3 linked regions of the Rattus norvegicus genome follow. The protein of the gene in region 1 interacts with the protein of each later gene in a pairwise test. Links are inferred from orthologs where the notes say so. Each region holds a gene or a part of one and is shown in the gene's direction. Other genes may lie near its edges.

The links.
Region 2: the proteins of Moap1 (region 1) and Thoc1 interact in binary tests that used the Homo sapiens proteins (3 or more experiments, as listed by UniProt). The two-hybrid records come from large-scale screens. The link is inferred for Rattus norvegicus from reciprocal best matches to the Homo sapiens genes MOAP1 and THOC1.
Region 3: the proteins of Moap1 (region 1) and Lats1 interact in a two-hybrid assay, tested with the Homo sapiens proteins (2 studies listed by BioGRID and IntAct). The two-hybrid records come from large-scale screens. The link is inferred for Rattus norvegicus from reciprocal best matches to the Homo sapiens genes MOAP1 and LATS1.

What each region holds. Positions count from the first base shown.
Region 1 is NC_086024.1:127,646,861-127,650,945, reverse strand, and holds Moap1 (modulator of apoptosis 1), read left to right. Parts: upstream 1-1,621; 5' UTR 1,622-1,760; intron 1,761-1,883; coding exon of another isoform or gene 1,884-1,906; 5' UTR 1,907-1,989; coding exon 1,990-3,048; 3' UTR 3,049-3,557; downstream 3,558-4,085. Other genes in the region: Lyset (lysosomal enzyme trafficking factor), read right to left, coding at 259-670, 1,060-1,139.
Region 2 is NC_086036.1:1,284,128-1,287,778, forward strand, and holds part of Thoc1 (THO complex subunit 1), read left to right. Parts: intron 1-959; coding exon 960-1,026; intron 1,027-1,222; coding exon 1,223-1,273; intron 1,274-1,357; coding exon 1,358-1,428; intron 1,429-1,698; coding exon 1,699-1,794; intron 1,795-2,364; coding exon 2,365-2,430; intron 2,431-3,651. UniProt on the Homo sapiens protein: Component of the THO subcomplex of the TREX complex which is thought to couple mRNA transcription, processing and nuclear export, and which specifically associates with spliced mRNA and not with unspliced pre-mRNA.
Region 3 is NC_086019.1:3,997,708-4,001,358, forward strand, and holds part of Lats1 (serine/threonine-protein kinase LATS1), read left to right. Parts: intron 1-1,704; coding exon 1,705-3,218; intron 3,219-3,651. UniProt on the Homo sapiens protein: Negative regulator of YAP1 in the Hippo signaling pathway that plays a pivotal role in organ size control and tumor suppression by restricting proliferation and promoting apoptosis.

The sequences.
Region 1 (4,085 bases):
CTGCAAATTACAAGCCACTATTTTACTTCCAAAATCTGAAGTCATCAACATGATTCTGTAGTACTATGTTTCAGGCTTTACCTAAAAAGTCATTATTCGGATAAAGTAGTCAGTCCTCTTGTCCCCCCCCCCCTTTTTTTTTTAAAGTCTCTGTTCCACCACAACTTCCTGAGACGAGACCTGTGAAGAAACTGCAGTCTTAGGTCAGCCACTAAACAGCACTGACAGTCTTGTAATAAGAGAAACCGGTGACTCGTTTTACGTGTCAATCAGTTGGAGTCTGCTGATCTGATTAGAAGCCTTGACAAATGCCTGGTGGCGATTGCAGATAATTGCCAAGCATATGGGAATAATACAGTAGCCCACCGTTTTAGGATCCGCTCTCGTACAAGAATAAAGGAACAAAAACATCTGTAAGTACGGTATCAAGAAAATAACTGTCCACAACCAGAAGGGCAGGGAAAGTAACCGAGCTTTCAAGGAGTGTGTCCATGTGGTTCCTTCCCTTGGCTCCTCAGGGTGCTGCTGAATGTGTTCCAAAGCCAACCTGTTGTAAGTCTCATTGATTTCAAAAACATAATAAAACGCTGCTGCACTTGCTAGCAAATACAATCCCACTCCAATCCATCCCATCCGCTGACGGAAGTTCATCATTCTCCATGCTCTGTGCCTTCAATGTAAACACAGGAAAATTATAGTTAGGGTCTAGTAATGGTGCCACACCAAGTATTCCAAGTGCACTTGATTTAACATCTGTAAACAACTTATAGGTGGTTTTATATAACAATTGTGAGCACATAAAAATACTGGTTTCCGTATATATTGAGTACTGTTATTTATGAGAACCCCAGAGTGAATGAATCATCACATCTTGCTTGAGTAGACCCAGTACACTTTCAGATAATGAAAACGAGTTTCCCCACAGGACATTGCACTTGACAGTTGAAATGCTTTCTGGCTTAACACTATTATTTCAGACATGAGCACTGGGTTGGGTTCTGCTCATTAAACCAGTGTCGGAGTCCCCAAGTTAAGACGGTAACTCTTTCAAACACTTACAGTGGTCCCGAAAATCTTGCTGTTCCCCCTGCAAGCGTGCAAGAGTCACTCAGTTCTGAATAGTCAGGTGCCTTTGGCATTTCAGAACAAGCCACTTAAGAGAAACCCTCTCGGTCGCGCAGAAGAAGAAGGTGAGCGCGGCCGGCGGGAGCACGAGCTAGTAGTGATTAAGCTCAGCGTGACTCCGGCTAGTCACGCGGCGGCGGGCCCGGTCGCCCTCTGGATCTCCAGGCAGGGGAAACCACCTGGAGATGCCTGGCCACGGGACCTCCGGGCCCGCCCCCCACAGCTCCCGCCGCCGTGCCTGGGCTGGGCAGTGGTGCCAGGCCTGGCCTGCAGAGCCCGGAGCTCGGCTCCCGGCTAAACGCCGGGCCAGCCTGACAGCCAAGCTGAGCAACCCGGGTCTCACCTTCCTGTCCTGAGTGGCCCGCCCGCTCGCAGTCCCGGATACCGCCGCAGTCAGAGCTTCCGTCTTGGGCCGGAAACGCGCGCCAGTCTCTCGTGACGTCAGGCTGTCTACTTCGCGCCGCCTCCGGAGGCGGTTGTCTGCTCCCTGGGGCGTTTGCGGCGGTGGCGGTCTCCTACCATGGCGGGGAAACGGGCGTAGGGAGCCCGTGTCCTCCATCGCCGCATTGGGGACGTGATCCCCTGGTGTCTCCTGATGCCCGCAAAGGTCAGACGCCCTCTCCGGAGCCTGAGCGGTGCGTCTGTAGGCAGGTGGTCTGCAGACCTCATGTGGTTCGTATATGAGCGCAGAGGGTGGGTAGAGGAACTGCTCAGGAGTCAAGGCACCGTTAACTTACACGGATGCTCTGTTTTCTCAGGCTCCTGGACCTCTGCGTATTAGAGAGACGAGCACGCACATCTCTGAGCTGCGGTGGGGCGGCGGCGGTGCCCTGGTCGAGTTAGGATTTAAATACCCTGGACACCATGACACTGAGACTCTTAGAAGACTGGTGCAGGGGGATGGACATGAACCCTCGGAAGGCACTGTTGGTTGCCGGCATCCCTCCGACCTGCGGAGTGGCAGACATCGAGGAGGCCCTGCAGGTTGGCCTTGCTCCCTTAGGGGAGCACAGACTGCTTGGGAGGATGTTTAGGAGGGATGAGAACAAGAATGTAGCCTTGGTTGGGCTCACAGTAGAGACCGGCAGTGCCCTAGTCCCCAAGGAGATACCTGCAAAAGGAGGTGTCTGGAGAGTGATCTTTAAGCCTCCAGATGCTGATAGTGACTTTTTATGCAGATTAAATGAGTTTTTAAAGGGAGAGGGCATGACAATGGGTGAATTAACCAGAGTTCTTGGGAATCGGAATGACCCTCTCTGCCTAGACCAGAATGTGATGATCCCTGAAATTCGAGCACCCATGTTAGCACAGGCATTAGATGAGGCTCTTAAGCCTACCCTGCAGTATCTGAGGTACAAAAAGCTGAGTGTGTTCTCAGGCAGGGATCCTCCGGGACCAGGTGAGGAAGAATTTGAATCTTGGATGTTTCATACTTCCCAAGTAATGAAAACATGGCAGGTGTCAGATGTAGAGAAAAGAAGGCGGTTGATGGAGAGCCTTAGAGGCCCAGCATTCGAAATTATTCGAGTCCTCAAGATAAACAACCCGTTCATTACCGTTGCAGAATGCCTGAAGACGCTTGAGACAATATTTGGGATTATTGATAATCCTAGGGCCTTGCAGGTCAGATACCTTACTACTTACCAGAAGAGTGGTGAAAAGCTCTCTGCCTATGTTCTGAGGTTGGAGCCTTTATTACAGAAGCTGGTGCAGAAAGGAGCAATTGAGAAAGAAGTTGTGAATCAGGCCCGACTAGACCAAGTCATTGCTGGGGCAATCCACAAGTCAGTTCGAAGAGAGCTTGGACTGCCAGAAGGTAGCCCTGCCCCAGGCTTATTGCAGTTGCTGACACTGATAAAAGATAAGGAGGCAGCAGAGGAAGAGGTCCTTCTTCAGGCCGAATTAGAAGGACATTTCACTTGACCCAAGACCAGCAAGGCTGTCATGAGCAGAACATGATGGAGGAGCTCATAGAAGTGATCAGCCCATCCCCCTTTGTGCTGCCAAAGTAACTTGCCCTTTGTCGTGTTGTTCACCCCACTGAATGTCTCCCCAGTGTTTTACTGATACAAATGATGTCATTCTACACTGGTAATTATTTAAATCAAAAGGTCATCTAGTACAGTGTTCTGCAAAGCTGGAGTTTATATGCATGTTTAATAGTCTTATGTGATGGTGCTGTCCGTTAAAAATAATTTTCAGGTGTTGCCCACATTTATGCTGAAGACCCCGAGCCAAGGCTAGCTAAGTTATTTAAAGTTTCTTTATTATAAATCAGTTATTGATTCTGTGCAATCAAAAATCACAACTGAGTGCTGTGGTCAATTCTACAACTATCTTTAGGTTTGTGATATATCTGATGTGTTGCCAAAGGGTCTGCTTCTAAATGTCATTTTCTTAGAGTCATAGTATAAATAAAGAAATGCTAATAATAAAATGTTTGATCTTTGTATACCTTGGGGGTTCCAAGATAATGCATTTGATAAAAAATAATTGTTTTTGAGACAGAGTTTCTCTGTGTAGCCCTAGCTGTGCAGACTTACTCTGTAGATCTGGCTGGCCTCAAACTCAGATCTGCCTCCTGAGTGCTGGGTAAAGGCTTGCACCACTGCACCTGGCTGAGAGAAGCTTTTATAGTACGAATCTGAAAGCCACTGAGGTTACAGGCTTAATTCTTTGGACTCTTGGTACCTAGGGGGTAGTAACTTGATTGTTTGACAGGAACCAGACTACACAGATTATGGCAAGTAGTGGGCCCATCAATACTCATTTCAAAGGGAGAAAGGAAAGATGAATTTTATGTTTTTCTAATCCTGGTGCTATATACCTATAATCCCACTGCTTAACAAGTAAAGCCAAAGTCAGGAAGATTGGCCTTTCAAAGCCAGCCCAAACTACAGGGTGAGACCTTGCCTCAAAAGACAAAGTTCTACATATAGGGAAACTAAAATCACACTGGG
Region 2 (3,651 bases), on another chromosome or scaffold:
GCCCTACACACTGTTCTGCTGTTTTAGGTTTTCACGCAGCCTCGTCAGGATCTCTTGTGTCTAAGCCCTGCCAACAGAAAGCATACCATTTGTTCTTTTCTTCCGTAATTGAAGCCAGAGCCTGTTGCTTGTACACAAATCGATGCATAAAGGGCATGGCATTGTTGCCTGCCGGATCAATAGTCCCATGTCAGCACTTGTGCAGCTCCTTCAGAACTGTCGTCAAGTGGCACATGATACCCACCCAAAAAATGTAATTTTTTATTTTTCTATTTCAAAGTTTAGTGTAGTGTGATGTAGAAAGATCAAGGACTTGAAATCATACATAGGTTGAATTCAAGCTTTGGGCTTTAGGGAAGTCACTAGATCACTGTATTCTCTTTAATATGTGCATGAAATGGTTCTGCAGATTCAGATGACAGTGCTAGCTGTCTTTGTTGATGGCTTTGAAGCAATTAGTGGATAGTTAATGGGAGCTGTTAACAATTTTGAGTTTTGCCAATATTCTTTTCCATTACATTTTGAGTCCGTTTTAAAGGAAAATATAACATGTCTATATGAATATGTATCATATAGAACATTATGTTAATGTTTTCTCGGATTTTTTTTTCTTTTTTTTTCTTTTCGGAGCTGGGGACCGAACCCAGGGCCTTGTGCTTGCTAGGCAAGTGCTCTACCACTGAGCTAAATCCCCAACCCCGTTTTCTCAGATTTTTATCTCTGTTAAATGTATGAAATATTTATTACTCTGTGGTCAGAACAGTTAATTGAATGTCTTATTTGCCTTTATATTTTCATGACTTCAATTTTAACACCTGACCATGAAATGTAAGAATTTTCTCAATATTCCCCGTATTTGTCATGGTTCTTGGTAATTTTCCACACAGTGTGGTTAAGGTGCCATGAATAGCCTCAACATGAAAATACTATAACACAGAATGCATTTGTTCTTTCCCTAGTTCAAATTATGTTTTAACTGATGAGCAATCACTCTGGATTGAAGATACTACCAAGTCAGTCTACCAAGTAAGTCCAACATGCAACAACCCATGATTGAAAAAATGGAAATTTAGAATTTTCTTTGTTTCAGCCCCAAATAGGAAAATAAGGATAAAGTTAAGCTCAGGTACAAGAACACAAACACTTCTTGGTTCTCTGCCTACAAACCACTCCTATGATGCAGAAAGTTGTTGAAACCTTAGTATATTCTTTCTAATCACAGCTGCTATCTGAAAATCCCCCTGATGGAGAAAGATTTTCAAAGATGGTAGAGGTATGTATTTGATCATTAGTTTTCTTATTACTGAATTATGATTTCAAAATATTGTTATGCAGAGATGTCTCTTGTTTATCCTAGCATATATTAAACACTGAAGAAAATTGGAACTCATGGAAAAATGAAGGTTGCCCAAGTTTTGTGAAAGAAAGGTAATAAGTTGATTGAACACAGGATAAGTTGGTGTTATTGAAAATGCTGTGTCTGTTTGCCCTACAATGCAGTTATTTTGTCTTCTGTCTGATAAGTGTTCTATCATACTATGAAGCATTTATATTTTAGGGTAAAAGAAATACTTAGCTCCCAAAACTTACAGTTTTGCTGTAAGTAGAATTAAATAAATACAGGAGCTTGTGCACATTAGGCAAATGCTTAACACACATCCATATACAGTCCCCAGAATATGAATGTTTTGTTCACAGAGCATCAGATACCAAGCCCACAAGAGTGGTACGGAAGAGAGCAGCCCCAGAAGACTTCTTAGGCAAAGGGCCCAATAAGAAAATCCTGATTGGAAAGTATGTTACTCATTTTCCTATGTTCTTGATTGCTATTTGAAAATATTATGAATAGAACTCTCCAGTTTGGCTGAGGAGATAGCTCAGCTGTTAAGGCTAGGCTCATAACCAAAAAGACAGAAACTCTGTACATGAACTTGTATTTTGTGTGTGTGTGTGTGTGTGTGTGTGTGTGTGTGTGTGTAACTAAAGCTAACCATAGCCCGTTGCTCAAAACTGTCATTATGTGAATTCATGTAACTACTTAAGCCTTCCTGTTGTCTCCCACTTTGAAAGCCCTTGGCTTTAGGCTCTGCCATCTTTTCTGTGTCATGGACAGTACAACTGTCTGGGCCAGTGCAGTTCACTTATATTTACTGAAAGGGTACTGATCATTCAGGTCTGTCACCTTTCAGTTAATCCTCCATTCTTCATTATTATTGAATAGTTTCTGAGAAATGGTTATAATTATATACTTACATAGAAATGACTATCACCACCCCCAGACCCACTACTTATGTTACATATGCAGTTTTATGACATACTGTGAGGATGCTATCAATACAAAATTATGTCTGCCTTATTTTGTAGTGAGGAGCTAACAAGGCTTTGGAATCTCTGTCCTGATAACATGGAAGCCTGTAAATCAGAGACAAGGCAAGTGTAAAACTTTTATTAGTTTTCTCAATGTTCAGTGAAGTATAATAAAATCTTTCCTTAGGAATGATCAAAGCTTAAAAGTTTATTGTGGTTAAATTTGGGCCTGGCAGAATATGGTTTACTTTAAAACACTTAAAAATGCTGATAAATTTTTAGAAATCATAAAAAAATAAAAGTTTCACAAAGAAATGGGAACTCAACACCAAAAGAGTAACTTAGTTAGGGTTGACTTGGTATTCCAAGAGAGTAAGCAGTGAGGTGGTCCAGTCTCACAGAGATACTCACAGAGATACGCAGAGATGCAGGAGACGAGCCTAGGTTTGGTCTCCTGACTTAGGAGACGCCGCCCGCAAAGGAAGGGAAGCAGCGGAAGGCAAGAGCAGGACACACTTCCCTGGAAGTGGAAATGGAAACCTTTGGTTTCCTGAGAAACAAGAACATGTCATGTAGCTCACATTTCCAGGACCAGCCGCAATTGGGAACCCAAAGCTAAAATTGTCAGCTAGGAAATCGTAGGCTGGTGGTAAAACCTGTCTGAAGGTCAGACCTCCAGATGGAGCTCTTAACACAGGGAAAAGCCTAAAAAACTTATCATCCAAATTTACAGTCAAGGAAACAATCTACCATGAGTTTCATAAAGAATCAAAAGAGATGGCTCAGTGGTTAATAATGCTGGCTGTTCTTCCAGAGGACCCGAGATCTATTCATCACACTCATTCTCTCCAGTCCTAGGGGATCCAACACCCTCTTCTGGCACCAAGGACACAAGTGGTACACAGATGTACATGAAGACAAAATACTCATACATACTCATAAATAAGTAAATAAAGCTAGAATCAGGTAAAGGCTGTAGAGTTATTTTTCAGATAATTAAGAAGTAGCAGCTAAAAACAAGAAAAACTTGGCACTGTCAAAAAGACCAGATAATCAGATGTGGTGGTAGCTCATTACTGTAATCCCATCAGCTGGAGACTTGTTAAAAAATAATACAATACAGAGTTGAGCAAAAACCCAGCAGAGAGAACACATGGGTGTGAAAGAAGCACTGCTTAAGATCAGGACGAAATAGTCATAATTCATAAATTTCGTTCAAGATGTCTATGTATGTGAAAAATGAAGGATGAATGAAAAGAGAAAACAGGTTACAAAAGTAAAATTAAACTAACAGCAGGCTTCAGAAACAAAATCAGAAGACAGTGGAATAAGAGCCTCAAAGAA
Region 3 (3,651 bases), on another chromosome or scaffold:
AGTGTGTTTATTTTTCTCCAGTCTACTTTTATATCATTCTAGGTACATACAAAGAATATGGTCATTCCTAAGGCATAAACAGAGTAGAACAGAGTAGTTTAGGAACAAACAAAGCATAAACAAAGGTCCCATGATTGCTGTACTCAGGGTCTTAACAAAGAACATATTTCTCAGCTATATTCATCTTGAGCCTACTTCCTTGTCCTAGCCAAATGTCAAATTCTTGCCAAATTTCTAGAAGCAGCTCCAAGAGCTCTTCACCTCTGTCCATCTGTCTGCCTGCCTGCCTGCCTGCCTGCTTATCTACCTATCTATCTACTTTGAAGACTTGGCTGTCCTGGAACTTACTATTTAGAATAGACTGGCCTCAAACTTTAGAAATTCATGTATCTCAGCCTTCAAGTGCTGGATTAACGATGTGCACCATCATGTCCTGCTCTATCTCATTTTATGTTCACATTGCTTTGAACACTATCGAGAATTTGTTCAATGGCTTTGTCTTGGTGTGTGCGTGCGTTTAGACACATGTATGTATTTGTGGTAATGTGTAGTTGCACATGTGTTTGGAGGCCAGAGGTGACAGTCAGGTATCTTCCTAAGTTGCTCTTCACCCTGTATTTCATGACAATGTCTCTTACTAAACTTTAAGTTCACGAATTTCACTTGACTGACTGGGCAGCAATCCCCATGCATCTTTCTTTTATTTCCATCTCCCCAGTGCTCAGTTTATAGGTTCCTGTGCATCACCCAGCTTTTAAATGGGTGCTATTACAAGCACTCTGCCAACTAAGCCATTTCCCCTGTTTAGTATTTTTTGTGGGGTTTGTAGTTTGGTTTTTGGTGTTGGAAATTGAATTTGAGGTCTTACACATACTAGTAAGTATATGTTGTACTTAGAGCTGTTTTCAGTCATGTTTCTCTCTGCCATTGACTTACAAGAGAATACTTTTTTTCCCTTTAGTTCAACACAATGCAATATCGTTTAACCTTACAAGCAAAATTTATTCATGTGTTACTCATGTCAGGGACAGGTAGCAGCATTAGGACTTCAGAATACTGAATGATTTTGGAGTAGGTACAATTTGGCACATAACGCTTGAATGATTTATTGCTATCCATTCATCGGACCATAATTATAGCTGGAACTGATAAGAAGCAAAAGTGTGACAACTCTTCAGAGATGTTTTTCTTAGGACAGACTGAAGACATTAAAGAGAATAGTTCAAATCACACTGTCGGTGGGGGAAGATCTCGGGTTTCTTCAGTTTCTAGTTCATCATGAATTATAGAGACACAGGGTCTCACTATGCAGCTCTGGCTGTCTTGGAACTCTGTGTAGACTAGTTTGGCCTTGAATTTGAGGTCCCCCTGCCTCTGCTTCTCATGCACTTAGGCACCTAGTGCCTGTGAAGCTCAAGAGGGTGTTGGATCCCCAGGAGCCGAAGTTACCATTGTGAGCTGCCATGTTGGTGGTGGGAACTGTACATAGGTCCTCTATAAGAACAGCAGGCACTCCTAACCTTGAGCCATTTCTCCAGCCCAAGAATACACTGTTTATACAGTCTACATGTTGTAATGTTTATCTCTTGACTTAACCCCTTTCTACAGTTTTAAACTTGAGTATCATTAGTATTGGAATTCTGAGATAAATTATTTTTAAAGGAGAGGTTAAAAACATGACTATTCTCTCTTTTTTAATCATAGGAAATGTGCAACATTCAATTAGCCGAAAACAAAGCTGGAAAGGTTCTAAAGAGTCTTTAGTTCCTCAGAGACACGGTCCATCTCTAGGAGAAAATGTGGTTTATCGATCTGAAAGTCCCAACTCACAGGCGGATGTAGGAAGACCTCTGTCTGGATCCGGCATTACGGCATTTGCTCAAGCTCACCCAAGCAATGGACAGAGAGTGAACCCACCACCACCACCTCAAGTTAGGAGTGTTACTCCTCCACCACCTCCACGAGGGCAGACCCCACCTCCACGAGGCACAACTCCCCCTCCCCCCTCGTGGGAGCCTAACTCTCAGACAAAGCGCTACTCTGGGAACATGGAATATGTAATCTCCCGAATCTCTCCTGTTCCACCTGGGGCGTGGCAGGAGGGCTACCCTCCACCACCTCTTAACACTTCCCCCATGAATCCCCCCAACCAGGGACAGAGAGGCATCAGTTCTGTTCCAGTTGGCAGGCAACCAATCATCATGCAAAGTACTAGCAAATTTAACTTTACACCAGGGAGACCTGGAGTTCAGAATGGTGGTGGTCAGACTGATTTTATCATGCACCAAAATGTTGTCCCCACTGGTGCTGTGAATCGGCAACCACCACCACCATATCCTCTGACCCCAGCTAATGGACAAAGCCCTTCTGCTTTGCAAGCAGGCGGTCCTGCTGCTCCACCATCATTCTCCAATGGAAATGTTCCTCCAACGATGATGGTGCCGAACAGGAACAGTCATAACATGGAGCTGTATAATATCAATGTCCCTGGACTGCAAACAACTTGGCCCCAGTCGTCTTCTGCCCCTGTGCAATCATCTCCAAGCAGTGGGCATGAAATTCCTACGTGGCAACCTAACATACCAGTGAGGTCAAATTCTTTTAATAACCCACTAGGAAGTAGAGCAAGTCACTCTGCTAATTCTCAGCCTTCCGCCACGACAGTTACTGCCATCACACCAGCTCCTATTCAGCAGCCCGTGAAAAGCATGCGCGTTCTGAAACCAGAGCTGCAGACTGCCTTAGCCCCAACCCATCCTTCTTGGATGCCACAGCCAGTTCAGACCGTTCAGCCTAGCCCTTTTTCTGAGGGTGCAGCTTCAAACGTGCCAGTCATCCCACCTGTGGCGGAAGCTCCAAGCTATCAGGGCCCACCACCACCTTATCCAAAACATCTGCTACACCAAACCCCATCTGTTCCTCCATATGAGTCAGCGAGTAAACCCTGCAAAGACGATCAGCCTAGCTCAGCCAAGGAAGAGGATAGTGAAAAGAGTTTGGACAGTGTTGACTCTGGGGATAAAGAGAAGAAACAGATTACAACTTCACCTATCACTGTTCGGAAAAACAAGAAAGACGAAGAGCGAAGAGAGTCTCGCATTCAGAGTTACTCCCCGCAGGCCTTTAAATTCTTCATGGAGCAACACGTAGAGAACGTCCTGAAGTCTCATCAGCAGCGTCTGCATCGCAAGAAGCAACTAGAGAATGAAATGATGCGGGTAAAACTTTAAAATATTCTCACACTTAATCATCTCGTGCCTTGGTATTTTAAAATCCTAGGCTCCAGTGTTCTTGTAGTAAATGTAGTGTATTGTCAATAATGTGAGTAAACTGGGAGAATTTTGATGATAGCATTTTCAGTGATTATTCAGCATTTCTTATAGAACTTTTAAATTATATATATATATATAAAGTATATGAAATATGGAAATTGAAACGAGGTTTAATTTTTACTTTGTTTTTTTTTTTTTTCCTCCAAGACAGGGCTTTACTTTGTACCCTTGGCTGTCCTGGAACTCACTCTATAGATCAGTCCGGACTTTAACTCACATAGATTTACCTGCCTCTGCCTCCCAAATGCTGGGATTAAAGGCATATGCTACCAATATCCAACAGGTTCTAGATTTTATACATTATTTTACAACATACACA